Linked DNA regions of Caenorhabditis elegans. The protein of the gene in region 3 purifies or fractionates together with the protein of the main gene of each other region. This does not show direct contact. Each region holds a gene or a part of one and is shown on either strand. Other genes may lie near its edges. The genes, in order: eif-2gamma, puf-3, eif-2beta and vdac-1.

What was found.
Region 1: the proteins of eif-2beta (region 3) and eif-2gamma fractionate together in Caenorhabditis elegans (co-fractionation; one large-scale study listed by BioGRID). This does not show direct contact.
Region 2: the proteins of eif-2beta (region 3) and puf-3 fractionate together in Caenorhabditis elegans (co-fractionation; one large-scale study listed by BioGRID). This does not show direct contact.
Region 4: the proteins of eif-2beta (region 3) and vdac-1 fractionate together in Caenorhabditis elegans (co-fractionation; one large-scale study listed by BioGRID). This does not show direct contact.

Annotation. Positions count from the first base shown.
Region 1 is NC_003279.8:2,311,443-2,316,565, reverse strand, and holds eif-2gamma (protein-synthesizing GTPase), read right to left. Parts: upstream 3,296-5,123; 5' UTR 3,256-3,295; coding exon 3,246-3,255; intron 3,192-3,245; coding exon 3,103-3,191; intron 3,059-3,102; coding exon 2,853-3,058; intron 2,796-2,852; coding exon 2,405-2,795; intron 1,571-2,404; coding exon 962-1,570; intron 911-961; coding exon 806-910; 3' UTR 574-805; downstream 1-573. Other genes in the region: ekl-7 (PEHE domain-containing protein), read right to left, coding at 1-126, 177-257; tbca-1 (Tubulin-specific chaperone A), read right to left, coding at 3,670-3,816, 3,868-4,056; 5-cytosine rRNA methyltransferase nsun-4, read right to left, coding at 4,521-4,724.
Region 2 is NC_003282.8:13,509,807-13,513,765, forward strand, and holds puf-3 (PUM-HD domain-containing protein), read right to left. Parts: upstream 2,357-3,959; 5' UTR 2,340-2,356; coding exon 2,011-2,339; intron 1,939-2,010; coding exon 1,129-1,938; intron 1,082-1,128; coding exon 712-1,081; 3' UTR 501-711; downstream 1-500. Other genes in the region: afmd-2 (Alpha/beta hydrolase fold-3 domain-containing protein), read left to right, coding at 196-336, 389-467, 2,735-2,994, 3,491-3,589; m7GpppN-mRNA hydrolase dcap-2, read right to left, coding at 3,813-3,908.
Region 3 is NC_003279.8:8,026,050-8,029,472, forward strand, and holds eif-2beta (Eukaryotic translation initiation factor 2 subunit 2), read right to left. Parts: upstream 1,744-3,423; 5' UTR 1,714-1,743; coding exon 1,699-1,713; intron 1,652-1,698; coding exon 1,549-1,651; intron 1,500-1,548; coding exon 1,413-1,499; intron 1,336-1,412; coding exon 979-1,335; intron 932-978; coding exon 741-931; 3' UTR 566-740; downstream 1-565. Other genes in the region: C54G4.9 (RAP domain-containing protein), read right to left, coding at 1-111, 160-470. UniProt on the Caenorhabditis elegans protein: Component of the eIF2 complex that functions in the early steps of protein synthesis by forming a ternary complex with GTP and initiator tRNA.
Region 4 is NC_003282.8:7,505,921-7,509,732, forward strand, and holds vdac-1 (putative voltage-dependent anion-selective channel), read right to left. Parts: upstream 1,972-3,812; 5' UTR 1,969-1,971; coding exon 1,905-1,968; intron 1,832-1,904; coding exon 1,691-1,831; intron 1,524-1,690; coding exon 1,354-1,523; intron 1,197-1,353; coding exon 939-1,196; intron 893-938; coding exon 674-892; 3' UTR 501-673; downstream 1-500. Other genes in the region: Putative sodium-dependent excitatory amino acid transporter glt-6, read left to right, coding at 1-45, 90-368; R05G6.5 (Uroporphyrinogen-III synthase), read left to right, coding at 2,663-2,806, 2,854-3,041, 3,219-3,298, 3,350-3,465, 3,517-3,555; plc-4 (Phosphoinositide phospholipase C), read right to left, coding at 3,758-3,812. UniProt on the Caenorhabditis elegans protein: Forms a channel through the cell membrane that allows diffusion of small hydrophilic molecules. Plays a role in maintaining mitochondrial morphology.

The DNA.
Region 1 (5,123 bases), 5.7 Mb from region 3:
ACGACTGCGATCGACCCACTTCTTGGCGAAGGTGCTTCGTGGTGGAGGTGCTTCTTCGTTTTTTGGAATGACCGTATCAGAACGGAGCACCATAATTGGTTTCCCGCGTAAATTGTTCAGCTGGAACTAGGTTATGTTTTAGTGGGTGGAAAAAATCGCACAATTCAGAGTATTACCTGCACTTTCTTGCTCCTGTCATAGCCGTAAAGTGACGTTTGAACAGTGTTCGGACCTTCGATGAATTTCGGGGCCGGCATCGCTGAAATTTATCATTTAGAGTGTATGTTTTATCCGATCGAGGCGTTAAAATAAAAGTTTTATACATTTTATTCAGATTTTCGAACAAAAATTTGAGAAAATTGGAGAAAATAAAGAGAAATTCAGATGAAATTCGAAAATTTTCTAGCGGCCTACAACACCGTAAACATTCTACAAAAGTCTCATCGCGGCGAGACCATCTGCGCAAGGAATGAAACCTCCCTTTAAGGTGGGTTACTGTAGCCTGCACTTTTCGTTTTGTTTTTCAAAACCTGAATCTTTGCTGCAATTATAAAATGTATTTCCAGATTTTACTCAAATCCAATAATTTATCGAAAAAACACCAAGCACACTTTCAACAAAAAGAAAAATAATCAATGAAACTGGAAGTGGAATAGTAGGAAACAGGAGGAGGACAGAAAAAAGAACCAAAACAGGGATCCGACAAAATTTTTTGGACTAATAGAGAGACAAAAACGGAGAGAAACAATTGGAAAAGATTAATAATATGTCAAAACCGGTGTAGACAACAAATCGATGATAGCCGCTAGTTCTTGTACGGCTCAACGGTTTGACCTTTGCGAATGGTTCCCCAGCCAATCAGGCGCCAACTCTTCTCGAAACGACGTGACATGGCAATCTTCTCTCCAACCTGAATTTAAATACAAATTAAATTTATTATTTTATAAAAAGTGGGAATTACCTCTGTGCAAATAGGATCGTTTAATCTGATCTTCGCGGCGTCTCCCTTCACAGCAGTAACTCTTCCTCCCGTTGACAACGATCCAATGTTCACCAGCAAAGTCTCTTCCTTGACAAGCTTCTGCACCTTGGCTCCCTTCTTCTTTCCTTCAGTACGAACTCCGAGCAATCTTCTCAGAAGATAGAAGGAGATTTCAATTTCGATGAAGATATCTGGAAGAGTGCCAACGGCTCCGAGGATGTGACCGACGAGTCGATCTCCACGGCAGAGTGTCGGGTCGATCTTCGTTCCAACACCGATGAGACCGCCGGGAACGGCGTATTCCAGCTGGTTCTTTTCGGCAAACAGAGAGTCGATACGGGAGAAGATCGGACGGCATTGGAGTTGACCGGTCGCGGTTTTTGAGACGATTCCCGGGCGAACTTCGATTTCTTGTCCGACGCGCAGAATTCCCTTGGTCAATGTTCCTCCGGCGACTCCTCCCTTCAAGTTTTCAACTTCAGATCCTGGCTTGTTAACATCGAATGATCGGATAATGATGAGACGAGCCGGCGACTTGAAGTCACGGACTGGCACGGGGATTTTCTTGCAAAGATACTCGCAAACGAGCTGAAAAATCGCAATTAATCTAGTATACACGCTCTCCTCAAGCGTTCATAATTATTAGAGCGCGCTCGCGCGGCCCCTCACGAACTCCAGAATTCGCGGGGACAGCAGTTTTAGGCGGCTGTTTTTGGCTTCTATGGAAATTATTTTTAATTTTTTGTTTAATAATATTGTTGAGAAGCACCATCCGAATTGAAAATGTGTAAAATTATGAAATCTGACCGAAAACTGAAGGTTTTACAGAGAGGAGTCACCACGGCTTTCTTTAAAATGTATCAGTACAGTCAGTTTTTCGATTTCAGAGTCGTAGAATATGTTATTTTGTAGAGAAAAGTCTGTTTCACAAAAATCCATGTTTGAAATTTTAAAATTGTTCTTATGAAAAACTGAAAATTTGAAAAAATTAGATTCTAACGTAAAATTGTTGATTTTTTGAATATTTTTATATTAGAAATTAAAAAATTAAAATTTCAAACATGGATTTTCGTGAAACAGACTTACAAAATGACATATTTTACGACTCTGAATTCGAAAAACTGACGGTACTGATACATTTTAAAGAAAGCCGTGGTGACTCCTCTCTGTAAAAACTTCAGTTTTCGGTCAGATTTCATAATTTTACACATTTTCAATTCGGATGGTGCTTCTCAACAATATTATAAATCAAAAAAATTAAAAATAATTTCCATAGAAGCCGAATATAGCCAAAAACTGCTGTCCCCGCGAAACGAATTCCCGCGAATTCTGGAGTTCGTGTGGTGCCGCGCGAGCGCGCTCTAATAATTATGAACACTTGAGGAGAGCGTGGTATATTTAAATCCAGATTCAGATCCTTACATCAACATTATATTTAAGCTGCGCAGAAATCGGGATGACTGGAGCATTCTCGGCGACCGTTCCTTGCACAAATCCGGCGATTTGCTCGTAATTTTCGCGGGCTTGCGACTCCTTGATAATATCGACCTTGTTCTGAAGAATCATCAAATGATTCAGCTGCATAATCTCGACGGCGGCGAGATGTTCAGATGTTTGTGGCTGTGGGCATGGTTCGTTTCCGGCGACGAGCAAGAACGCGGCGTCCATGACAGCGGCTCCGTTCAACATGGTGGCCATAAGAATGTCGTGACCTGGGCAATCGACGAATGAGACGTGGCGAACACAGGTGAATTCTCCACCGCATCCGGCGCGCTCGCATGGGAACCGATCGGGTGTTGATGAACCGGCGGATCTGAATTAGAATTCAAAAATTATTTATTTAAATTAAATTTCAGGGAGATATTATAACCTGTAACATCCTGGCCTTGGGCACTCTTGGTTAGAACATCTGTAGATCTTTGCATTAGCGTATCCAAGTTTGATAGTAATATTTCTTTCCAACTCTCTTTTGAACTTGACAGTATGCACACCGGAGAACGCTTTCACCAGAGTGGATTTTCCATGGGCTACGTGGCCAATAGTTCCGATATTAATCGTGGCTTGTCGAGAGATAACCTGAAAAATAACTCTTTAACTCAAAAATTATTGATTTTCAGTACCTCCTCGGTGAGTGGGTTCAAATTATCGACTCCGACTTTGTCCAAATCTTGTTTCGCAAGCCAGCTCTGGCACTTGTCCTTTTCAGCTTCTAAATTAAGAAAGAATTATGAAATTTTCTTGAAACCGAAAAGCTAACACTTACCAGAAGCCATATTTTTTGTTTTTATGATCCCAGTTGAGTCGATTATTGATCTTTAAAAAATTATCATTATAATTAATCGAAATTACTCAAAATTAATTGAAAATCCATAAAGATTGCATAGAAAACAGGCTAAAATTGGATAAAATTAGAAATGGGTTAAAGGCGCATGGGAGTGGTTGGAAGGGTCTCGATGCGATTTCGTGTGTCGATTTACGAGCTCGAATTTTATGTTTTGCTTTTTAGCGCGAACCAGGCAAAAATCGTTGAATTAACGGACATCTGTATATTTTTCGTATGGAAATATTAGCGAAATTGCTTCTTAAAATTATTTATACGGCATTATAAACCATGTATTCAAGTAAAATGCAATAATTATTCATCATAAATCACCGAAAATCCCAAAATAACAAAAGAGTATCATAAATTAAGCAGAAATGGAGTCCACAAGCGTCTTCGCATTGACGAATTCTGCGGCTTCCTCCGGATAATTCCCAGAAGCAATCGATTCACGGAGGTCGGCCACAGCTTTTTGGAGACGTGATTGAGAATCGCGGACCATGTTGGCAGTTTCCTGAAAATATTTTAATTTCGTATACTCGTAAATCGGATTATTTCAAAAAACCTTAACAATATCCTTCGACTTCTTGGCAACATACTCCTCGTCCTCGTTGGTGGCGTCGGCGGCGAGTTGGGCAGCCTTCTGCTCCTCCTTCACAACTTGCTTCTCGTAATAGGCGACTTCTTTGACGAGACGTTGCACGGTTCCCGTCTTGATTCGGAGCGCTTTCAGCTGATCGGCTTGGGTCGACATGGCGGCGGGAGGTTCTGCAATGTGAATTTTTGAAACAGAGAACGAGATTGTGAGCTTGCTTTTATGGACTAAAAATCGATAGAAAAAGGCGCAATACCACCGAAAATGTTGTGCTCAATGAGCCGAAAAAGGACGGGAAAGCGAGCAGATGGTCAGACACGCTCGGCGATTTCGAAATAAATACAAATTGACCGCTGTCTGTTGGGCGACACAGGTTCCCGCCAAAAAATCGACTGTTCAAATGATTTCGCAATACATACATAGAGAACGAACAAGAAGGATCAATGAAAAATTCTATGAATTTGAAATTAGGTACTGATGGAACGGCAGATGCACCCATGGGGGTACTGCATAAATAATAAAATTTTAAAACAAGACATAAATTTAAAAATTCAGATTTAAAAAAAACAAACAAAAAATAGCAAAATCTAGAAATTTAAAAAAATTCATCAAATATTAAAAATCTATTGCAATCTGGTCAGTTTGCAAATATACATTGGTCCAAAGTTAGAGGGTAGAAACGGCACGACGAGGGCTCCCAGTGGAGTGTCATGGAAACGATAGAGGCCTGATGACGTCATATGGGATACGAGTTGATGTAGGGATTCCTCGACGGTCACGATTCCAAAGTCATTGCGTACGACGGCTACAGCGTTCTCGACGACTGCCTGAAGAAATTTGAATTAGCATTTTTGAGCTGTTATTTCGACAAAAAACCCCGGTCTCGACACGCCAGAAGTACTGTAGCCGCGAAAGTACGCAATCACCGGATCCTACGAAAAAATGCATGCAGAATTTCGGGATTTTTTTTGAGGGAAAATGTTGGGATCGGGCGAGAGTTGAAGCCAGAATCAAATTTTTAAACGGAAATCGTCAAAATTTGAAATTTTGATTTGATTTTCTCAACTGTTTAGTGAAAATTCGAGATTTATAGTGTTAAAAGAAACGATTTCTTCACATTTTAAACTTTTGTGAAACTATCAGAGCAAAATTTGAGCATTTCGGGGTACTGTAGCGGTGAAAATACGCAAACACGGCAGGGAGCGCAAAAAAAAATGCAGAATGCG
Region 2 (3,959 bases), on a different chromosome or scaffold from region 3:
AAAAAATGGAGAAAATAAATTCATTTAGAAAATCGAGCCCGTAAATCGACACAACCTCTACAGTAGCCATGTAAAGAATTACTGTAGTTTTCGATACGAGATATTTTGCGCGTCAAATATGTTACATAATACGCATTCTCCGAATTTTGTGTTCTCGTAACATGTGGAGAGCACACAAAAACAGAAAATCTCCAGATTGGAAACCGAAAGAAATGTTTGGCTGTCGTCCACGTGGCACAAAAGCTTGGCTACACTGTAGTCAGCGTGGGATACGACTATGCCAACAAGGATCATGTATTGAGCAAGACGATCGTTGAAGCTTTGGAAGGAGTTCAGGTTGGCGGGAAATTTAAATATTTCAGAAAATGTTCTAAAATATAAATTCCAGTTTGCTCTGAAAAAGTTCAAGAATGCGAAGAAAATTGTGATTGGAGGACACTCAGTCGGAGCACACCTCGCATTTCAAGGTAATAATTAAACAAAATATTGCAATTAAATCTGGAAGTTTGTAAATTCTTTATTCACAGAATTTATATCAATTATTGTGCAAAACGGGGGCCGGGGTCTTCATATAATATAGAAGAGGTTGCAATACTCTTTCTACAATTTTCTAGCAATATAATAATAAAAATAATAATAGTATACACGTGAGTTGGGTGATGGTGGGGGTTAGGATTCAAATGGAAATGAATAAAAATTGCCTATGTGTATCTAGTACAAGGACATTGATTGGAGCGCTTCGATAATCTTCTTGCCCGACGAAAATCTTTCGAGGCGGTGGGCGTTTCGCATCACTCGTCCGTGAATCTTCTCGAGCCACATGCCGTACATCTCCGATTGCTTTTGATCTCGAGCATTCTGACCGAGAACACAAGTCTGGATCATCTGCTGAACAACGTAGTTTCCATATTGATGGAAGAGCAGAATGTCGAGAGCATCACGATTTGTATCCGGATGTGGAATATATCCTTCGAAGATCTCGTTCATCATCTCGGCAACGAGGCGATATGGAGCACATTCAAACGCCACTTCGACCACGTGGCTAGCGTACTTCTCCTGTGACATTGAGAGCAAATTTTGCCTGGAAATGGAAAAATACATTTGAAAATTTGACTATATAAAACATACAGAAGGCACTGCTCAATGATGATATCTCTGTAGACAGCCAACGCATCTCCACACTTGATAACGTGTTGTACCACGTAGTTCGCAAACTCGTTGGAAGCCAGCTGGGTGCAGTTACGAGTGACTCCAGCCATCAAACTGCGAAGAAGAATGACACGATGCTGGTAGCACTGAGCATATTGATCAGTCGACAAAGTTTCGACGGTCGATTGAATGACACGGCACCCATATTTGTCCTGGCAAACGTGGATGAGATTGTCGTCGTCGGCGAAGAAATCCACGAGGAAAGTCCACGAAGAGACTGGAAGCGTCTTGACAATCTTCTGAATCACGTGGTTTCCGTTTTGATCGATGCTGAGACGGACGAGGTGCGTGTCACGGAGCTCCAACGACAAACGAGTCGCAAGATGAACATCAAGCTTCTGAATAGCCAGTTGAATGACGCGGCACGCACTCTTGTCAAGGCAGAGATTGTACAAATCAGTAGCCAAGTGCTCCGTAAGAATCTCCTGCTCCTCAGTGTTCGAGCACTCCAAGACACGTTGCACAAAGAAGTTGCCAAACATGTTAGAGCAGAGCGACAAGAAGATGGCACGATCCTCGACCAGTTTACGGAAGAGTTTTTGGTGGACGTCGTTGTCGTTCTCCGTTGGATAATGCTCCTGAAGGAATCGGCATCCATTCTTATCGGTGGCAAATTCCACGAGAGCATCGTTGGCGAGCACATCCTGAAGAGTGACCGAGTCCGAGACATTTCCCTCGCCGTCGCCAGCCCAGATTGGAAGTGTGCATTTGTGGCTGCGGGTGGTCGAGCTGAAAATTTGATTATTTTTTTGAAAGTTTTAAAAATTGAGGCTCCAAGTCACTGGAAAACTCTAAACTCACTTCAAAGACTTCGAGAACGAGGCGTTGTTCTCCAAATCGATAAGTCTAACGGCCTGTTGAGGATAACGAGCCGGAGTCGTCATCGGTGTAGAAGTGCGCCATTTGGAGAATTGTCCTCCAAATCCTTGACGATTCGGAGCCCAAGCGCTCTGTGGTGTCGGTGAGGAGCTCCGAAATCCCATCGAAGAGTCCACTTTCCGATTCGGCGTCCAAATGTTGGTGGAGCTGTTGGCGTTGAAGCAACCACCGAATGTGCCACGAGCCTCCGTCGCCGTTGGCGGGCTCTCGTAGTAGCGACCGAGGTTAGAGGAACCGGTGTTTTGACTCATATTGGTACGGAGACTACCTGAAAATTTATTTTTTTGGAAGACATCGACGTTTGAATGGACGGAATAAGTGGAAAATACGATAGAATTAATGAAAATAAGAGAGCAAAATTTTGGGACGCGTCCTCGAAGACAAAAAATGAACAAAAATGAAGAAATCAGGAACCAAAATGCAAAAAATCCCGCGTTAAAATAAAAAATCCAAAATTTCCCGCGCAAAAACGAAATAAAGTACTGTAGAATTTAAAGGCGCATGTCGACGCTGCGCCGATGGGTCTCGCCACGATTGATAAATTTTGCATACCAGGAATAAAATTTATGAAAAGTTCTTGTATTCTCACTCTGTGCAAAAAAATAGCGCTTTTTTTTTGTTAAATCAAAGAAAAAAATATTTCCAGCTGTAACACGGATCCATGACCCCCGAATCAGTGGTGCCTACCTCAGCGCGGGCATCTACAAAATTCAAGAACTGACTTCCACGACTTATGGTCACGATCTTGGGTTGACTTCAGAAGAAGCAGAAACTTGTAGTTGTGATTATGAGCTTATGAAGCATGTCCGGTTCCCGGTGTTAATCGCATGTTGCAGACGGGAATCCCCAAAGTTGTACCAACAAAATCAGGATTTTTCTAGTCAAGTTGCAAATGCTCAGTACAAGGTTTGAGCTATTTTGGACCGAAAAAAAAACCCCGTTTTAGGGTCTTGGCACGATTTTTAAAATATTTTTTTAACGAGTTTCACGCCAAAACCACGTTACCTGGTCTCGACACGATAGATTTTTGCTAAATGAGAACAGATATATGCGCCTTTAAAGATTACTGTAGATTTAAAAATATATTTATTTTATTTGGAAAACTCATATATTACGATAAAAACACATTCTTAAGAAAATAGATTATTTAAAATTCCGCAAAAACCAAATTTCAAAAGTACAGTACTCTTTAAAGGCGCACACCTTTTCATATTCGTCGTGTCGAGACCATGTATGGTATTTTTGACGCAAACCCCATAAAATCTCACGTCTGGATGATAAAACACGAGGAAACAACAAAAATCTATGAAATTTCGAGAAAATTACAGTAGTCTTTTTTTAAAGGCGCACGTATTTTCGCAATCAGCAAAAATTTGTCGCGTCGAGACCATTTTTGTTTCAGGAATACGAAAATGAAGATCATTTCACAATCCTGACAGAGCTCACAAAAGAGGAGAGCATCGTGTACGCCGACTTCTTCAACTTTCTTTATTCAATTTAATTGTACATTTTTTTTTCCAAAAAATAAAAATCAGATTTCTTGTTGGGTGTGGGAAACCTACAAATCTACATGAAAACCTTAAAATATAGCAAATTGTTTAACAAGGTTTCATGACTAAAATGAAGTAAATAGATAGGAAACATGTGGGTTTAGGAGCAAAAAAAAAAAGATACAGACAAGAGTGAATATATATTGAAATTACAAGTATTTTATTATATTTTATTTATGGTAATTGTGGTCCAGTGCCAGAAACGGGAGATTTTGTAGAGAATTGTTGCATCCAAAATGACAATGGTCCAACCACATAATCAATGTCAAGCTGGAATTTTTTTAGTTGTAAAATCTATAATATTTTTGTAAAAAAAAGTAC
Region 3 (3,423 bases):
CAATTTGCAGTCATTCTTCTTGCGAGAATTTCGATTTTTTCAGTATTTTTCGCAGACTCGATTTGTTTCCAGACTTCTCTACAATCATCTGTTCTTAAAATCCAGCCGTGCCTGTAATAGTAAAAAAAGTGAACAAAAGCTGAATAAAATAAAACCTACTCTATCATTATCTCCACTGCAATTTCCACAGTGACAGATGATTGTTGTTTGATTATATAGTTACACATTTCTTCCAACACCGCTTGATTTTCCAATCGATTCATCATTTGTCGAACTACCGTTTCAGATATTTCTAGAGAAACCGTCAAGTCCCATGAAATAATTTCTTGTAAGCATCTAACGAAGACATCTTCACATTTTTCAGCGCTGAATTCTTCATCGAAATTCTGAAGAGCGAGAAGAACTTCTCCAATATTTTTGGAATCCAAAGCCTGTGAAAGTTTTGACAATGCACTCATAAGGTTAGTCATATGGTGCTGAAATATTGGGGATCCTTTGACTAAACTTGAACATGGAAAATACCTAAAAAGGTGAGAACAAATCATTCAATAAATTTGAAACACTTACTATGCCGAATTTATTCTCAAAACACGAATCGAATGAGAAAGGAAATGAAACTGGATAAAAATAAATACGGGGAAAACAAGGAAAAGAGAAAGCAAAACAAGAATTTCGGAAAAATGGAAAGAAGTACCAACCCATAAAAAGCCGGATAACAACCGAGTAAAGTTTAGAAAATATTACTTTCCAGCTGTAGCTTCTTCGGCTCGGCGAATTGCGGCACGCTTTCCTACGACAGCCTTGAATCCACTCTTGATTGCTGTAACAGAGCATCTGGAACCACAGTTAGTACATTGGAGGAAGAAGAGACGAGTATCCTTGGTGAGCTGTGTTTCTGGCGACTTGCAAGTATGGCACATTACGTACTCCTCTGAAATACAGAAAATATACAATTTTTGGGAAATTTCTATTTTTTACTGATATATTTCCGGAGGACACTTTCAAATTGTTTCTGTTGCCATCTTCCTTTCACAATCAAACAGTTACTTCCGTCGATGGATCCAGTCGTTCCCAATTCCGCGAGCAAAAATTGGAGCACGTGTTTGTCTTGTCTTTTCATAAGCCGGCAAATTTCGAGGAAGTTGGAGAAAGCAGTCTTCTTTGATCCAGCTCTTGCAACTTCTGGGAGCTTGATGGCGAACTTCTTCTTGTCTCCAGCAAAGTCTGGATTTTTGTCTTTCATAACCTGATAGACAAGAGTGAGAGCTTCTTCGTATGTGTAATCTGGCCATGCCCCTTTTGCATCGATCAAGTTTTGAGCTCCAATTCCGATTTCTGAATTCATAATTATTTATTTTGAAAGAGTATTGTGCAAAATTATAGTTTTATAACTTTGTAATAAAATATATTACCGAGAGTTGGAACTTTCTCTTCAACTACTTCTTCGCCGGCTGTCTTTGGAGTTTTCTTCTTCTTTTTAGCTCCAAGGTTTAGCTCGCCTGTAATTTTGATTAATTAACAATCAGATACACATCTTCATCAGCTCACCCAAGCCATCTTCTACAGCTTCTACGCCGGTCTCAACAGGAGCATCATCGCCATCGATTTTGATCACCTTCTTAGACTTCTTCTTTTTTCCGAGATCGAGACCCTGGAGAAATATAAATTCAATTTGAAGACGAGATAAATTAACTTTACCAAATCGTCAGCCATAGTTTGTTTGTTTTGCTTGAAGTACAAAACCTGGAATTGAAAAATCATTTAAATGAAGATGCGAAACGATTTTCATGAAGAAAGGTAGGCATTTTGAATCTCGTAATATACATACAATTTAAAAATACATTTTATTCACTAAGTTTTGAAGATTATTTGCCGTTTCAGTTATTTTAAAAGACAAAATGGGTTGCGAAATGCAAAAAATGAGAGAAAACTTTCAAGGCGCATGAAGAATGGCTGTGGTGAGGTCTCGCCACGATTTCTCTTTGAGGCTGGGGGAGATTTACGAGGAGTGAACACTTTTTTTTTTTTGTTCTCTAAATGAGAATTTATTTATTTTGTTCAATAAGATTAGAATATGCGAGTTTATTGACATATTTTATATATCTTTAGTTGATTTTCTATCGTTTTTCTATGATTGATAGTATTTTCTACTCTAACATCGAGTTCTGACGCACCTTTGAAAATTACTGACTTGGCAAGCAAAAATATATCTTCGCTGAATCCTTTTGAGCTGTTAAGTTTAACAAAAATATTAAAATCTATTTTAATGTATTGTTTTGAACTGATTAGTACATAATTGATACTCTCGTCTCTGTATTCCACTTGCCGTTACAATGTTCGTTGTTTTTCACTAGCCAGGACCGGTCTCACGGAAAATCATTGTGAAAAAAAGAAGCAATCTGCTATTAAATAATTCCCATGCGAATCCATATATGATCTTAGTACTGCCATTTACTTCTCATAGTCAGAAAAAATACATTTCTCTAACAATCTTCATATCAAAAAACAACCAAATCCGTCGGCATCGCATCACAAATCCGACTAGTTTGTGACGTGGGCCAATTCGTGCCTACCTCGTTGCTCTCAGCTTTTTCAGTTCTGATAGGAGGAGTGGGAGGATAACTAAATTGACAACAATCAGCTTCGTTATGGCATCCTTTCAATGGAAAGAATTGGTTCACCGATTGACAATGAGTATCTAAGCGCAGCTTTTGTGTGGAAAACGGAAGAAAAGGACGAAGAAGTTGATGTTGCAGGACGTTGGAGCAGAAGAAAGGCGGAGCTCTTAGTGTTGCGAGATTGGCAGCCGGAGACTCGTTGGCTCAGCCAGGCATATCGCCGACGAATTGCTGCTCTCGGGTCGCCGGTGTCGTCTCTGCTCTCTGCTTCATCTTGGCTCTTCTGACCCTCTCTCGTTCTACACGGCCGCGCATAACAGCAAATTCTCTTCGTTACTACGCTCATAGATTTGTATATTTCAAAACTGTAAAATTTCATATATTTATTCGAATTTAGAATACTTCTAATTCGTTAAGTGTGTCTGACTCTGAGGTTTTCTGAGGTCGTATTGAATATTAAATGCGGTATTTATTCCAGTTCCGTGAATTTAATAATAGGAATTTGCAGTTTTCAATCTATTTTACTTCTTCCTCCAGTTTTCTCAATCCAAATTTGTTAATTTTGATTTAAAAACATTTAACATCGTAAACCATATTTACCGTTGATTCAGTTTGTTGTTTATTTTCTTTCTTTTTTTTTGAAAAAAAAAGCGTATGCTTGTATTGTTTCTGAAGACGGTGAAACCAACGTTTGTAAAACAAAACAAAGTGACAACGCCGCTTCTTCACTATCATGGTGGTTTTTGCAGTATCATTAAAAGCGGAAACGGTTCAATCTTCTTATCACCAGTTTTGCGTCAGTATA
Region 4 (3,812 bases), on a different chromosome or scaffold from region 3:
CTAGGGGATGCGTTTGCTGCTTCAATGGTTCAGCATTTATTGCAGGTTTGATAGAAAACTCGAACTTGGAGACAATTGTATATTTTAAGAAAAAGCTGGATCAAGCAGACGCTCGTCACGATTATAAGACTGAACTGAAAGGAGAAATTGAACTATTGAAGTCAGCTGCCACCAGTAGAAGACCATCATTCACAATGTCAGAAGCTTCTAAGGAGCTCTTCTTGACACACGCGAACACAGCTGGAAACTCAAGAATTGGATCACGAATTGGCTCTCGTCGTCCTTCATCCACCAACTTGCATCTTTCCTGGCGTAATAATAACATTGAACCACCATACACACCTCTGCCCAACGATGAAAACGTGTAGTTCCATGATCAATATTTACATTTTTTGTCCATGTCACTTTTCCATTCCAAAACAGAAAACGGTTATTCTCTCCTCTTTCCGCGAGAACCCATGGATTGTTTTGTACATATCATTTTTACTATTTTAAGCCACTGATGAAACTCAATAATTTATGTTTGTAAAATTTAGCAGAAAAGTAAATAGCGCATGACATTTCTTTTTTTTCGAAGTTTAGAGAACATAAATCGACATTGAAAAATCAACGGTTGAGGACTAAAAGAATTTTAAGAACGCTATTGATGGGAGAATGGAAGTGATCGGAAGATCTAGTTGGATGGATCGAATTCGAGTCCAAGTCCGAACTTGTGAGCATCATTGGCAGCAAGGTTGAATTGAGTGGAAAGTGTCAGCTTAAGAGCTGGAGACAAGGAGTGTGTGGCAGCAACGGCAACTTGGGAAGAGCTGTTGACCTTGGCGCGGACAGTAAGGTCACGGCTTGGAGCATACTTGGTGGCGAGAGCGTAGTCAGCTCCGTTTCCACCAACCTGAAAATTCACTTTAGTTTTGGTTCTAGGATTTTAAAAAGTTTACCTTCCATCCGAGTTGAGTTCCAACCTCGACGTTGGAGGCAACCTTGTGGTAAAGGGAAGCTCCGAAGTCGGTTGAGTTAATAACGAAAGAGTGGAGGGTGTATTGTGGAGTGGAGTGTCCGAAAGCCAAAGAAGTGGCTGCCAACTTATTCGATGAAGAATCGAAGGTGGCGGCAGCTCCGATGAGCCATCCGTCACGGGAGAAGACTCCGGCAGCGTTGATAACTGGAGCAGAGGTGACTCCAACATCAGCGGTAACCTGTAAATGGCTAATTTGTTTCATTTCACAAAGATGGATTTTTGAAATCTCTATTTCTACATTCAGAAAATCGAACCCTGAAACAATCATGCTTCCAGTCAAGCTTGAGACGAGCTTCGCCAATCTTATCACCCAAAATATGTACAAGACTACTCACTCTAGCAGTTGGGAGAGCCCAGTCGAGCTTCACTTTTCCGCTTCTCTTTCCGGCGTGTGGGGCATAAAGAGAATCGAGAGTGACCTTGAGTCCACGTCCGAATTGCTCATTAACTTCGATAACAGTTCCGAGCTGGTTCTCGGTGTTCCATTTCTCGGTCAAAGTGATTCCTGAAAACGAAACAACATGATTGATATCTCTCACACAATATGTTGTATTTTTGTTGAGCGGTCGCTAGACGTCACGTGGTGTTTTAGAGTACATACAATTGCATCACCTGCGTCACGAGGTTGTCCCCATCTAGCGGGTAGACAATAAGATGTTCAGACGAGCTTACCGTATTGTGGGATCTTGTACTTGACATCGAGATTTCCTCCAAGCTTTCCGGATCCGATATTGTGAGAAGCGGCTGATTTGAACTCAACCTCCTTGTTGTCTCCAGCTCTAGTGGTGGAGTCGATCTTGAGGAATCCAAAGTCTGGAAAAAAATTAATCAGGCGAATAAATGACCTAACACTATTCCTCTCTACAAAGATAAAATTGAAACTTACTGTATCCTTTGTTGAAGAGGTCCTTGGCGGACTTTCCAAGATCAGCGAAGGTTGGTGGGGCCATTTTCTAAACACAAAATATTTTTTGAAACATGCATTCTAGAGTTACACGAGAGAAGGAAAATAGGAAATTTTCGAAAAATGAAGGCTTTGAAAATGTTTGCATTGAGCAGTGCATACGAGAAAAACGGAAAGAAAGAGATAAACCAACTCAATGGCAGCAGTAGGAAGTCGATAAACAATGCGCCAGAAAACACAACATCGCCAAAAAATATATTCAGGGTTTCAGTTAAATGATTTACAATTATCTTATCGGGAAATTCAGAAGCAAACATTTGTAACATAAAACTCCGACGGTATCGAAAACATTGAATGCGATAGAGAAAGGACAGATCACGCCACAACAGCAAATTGAGAGTTCAAAGGCAAGCACATTGGCGCGGCGACCGCCCGTCTCGAGACATAGGACGAAAATGAGAGGCACAGAGACTGGTTACTGCAGCGCGACCGCTCCGCTTCCAAAAGTACTGGATTATTTTGGCAGTTTTTCAAAATTGAATGATGCACTGAGAAGAAAAGATTTGATGCAATGAAAGAAATATTGACTAACGAAACAAAATGAAATTAGCAAGAAATCTCAAATTTAGCGTTAAACCAGGAAATGGTACCGGAAATTGAGCACAAATCCAAATAGTTTCCGCATCACCTGGTTCAGCGAATTCAGTTCACTTCTGTCACTTGCATCTAACCTATTCGAAATGTACCGCTCGGAAGTCTCTAAGCCACAACTGGAAAATCCAAACCTAGTCGATAGAATAATTGTAATTATTCTGCCGAACTATTTCTATGAATATGAATCCGTACTGAAGCACATAACAAAAGAAAACTTCGGGATTATAGAGGTAAGTTGTATATATGAAAATTAAAGAAGAAGAAACTGATTATTTAGAAAACTGTGAAGCATTTTAAAACTGAAGAAGTCATGGAGTGGAAAAGTGCTGATCTTGAATCCCAAGATATCTGGAACTTATCAGACAGGCTAATAGACGGACCATGCATGTTACTATTGTGTCAACGAGCGAATGCTTTTATTGAGATGAAAGAAGTGGCCAAATATCACAATGTGATCGCTAAGAGGTGAGCAAAGACCAACAAACATCCGAAAATACTGAAAAACAATGGAAGAAAAACATTGCGCACAGTTGAAAATAACCGTTACCGTAGTCTCGTTTCGGTACGAAACCTTCACACTTTTGGAGGTTTTTCAAAAAATCTATCCGAAGAGTTTTAAAACTTCACAAGCGTTTAATTCAGAATGAGTTCAAGTGATGGAATATATTATTCAAAAACGACAATTGCCGCCTATCACGATATAATTTTCTTTTTCCCCAAGTGTAAGATTCCATAAAGTTAGAATTTTGACTCTCCCATAAAAATATATTCAGACATTGACGAAAGAGCAATGCTGAAACATGCCAAGGATTATCTCTCAGTAGAAGTATGGCCGAAACTGAGCCAGGGACTGGCTCGCGTAGCAGTTGAGAGACCGGATAATCCAATTGTTTGTTTTCGAATACACCATTTAGTAACATGATTTTTTTGACTCTTTCAGAAATGGCTCGCAGATTATCTACACCAACTACGCCAATAAGTTTATGTTTCTAAAAAATAATATAGTGTAAATACCCATAAACCAATAAAACAATAAATTTTTTAAAAATATGCATTAAAAATTAACTACAAAACTATGCGAAAGAAAGGGCAGTAGAACATATATTACATGTAATCAGATAACACACAGGTAGTGATAAAAACGGCTTTGGTCTCAAAAATATGTTTAAAAAGCAGGAGAATTAGTACTCTTCCTCCATTGCAATTCGTACAAAAAGAGATGCAGATGGGTCCAGA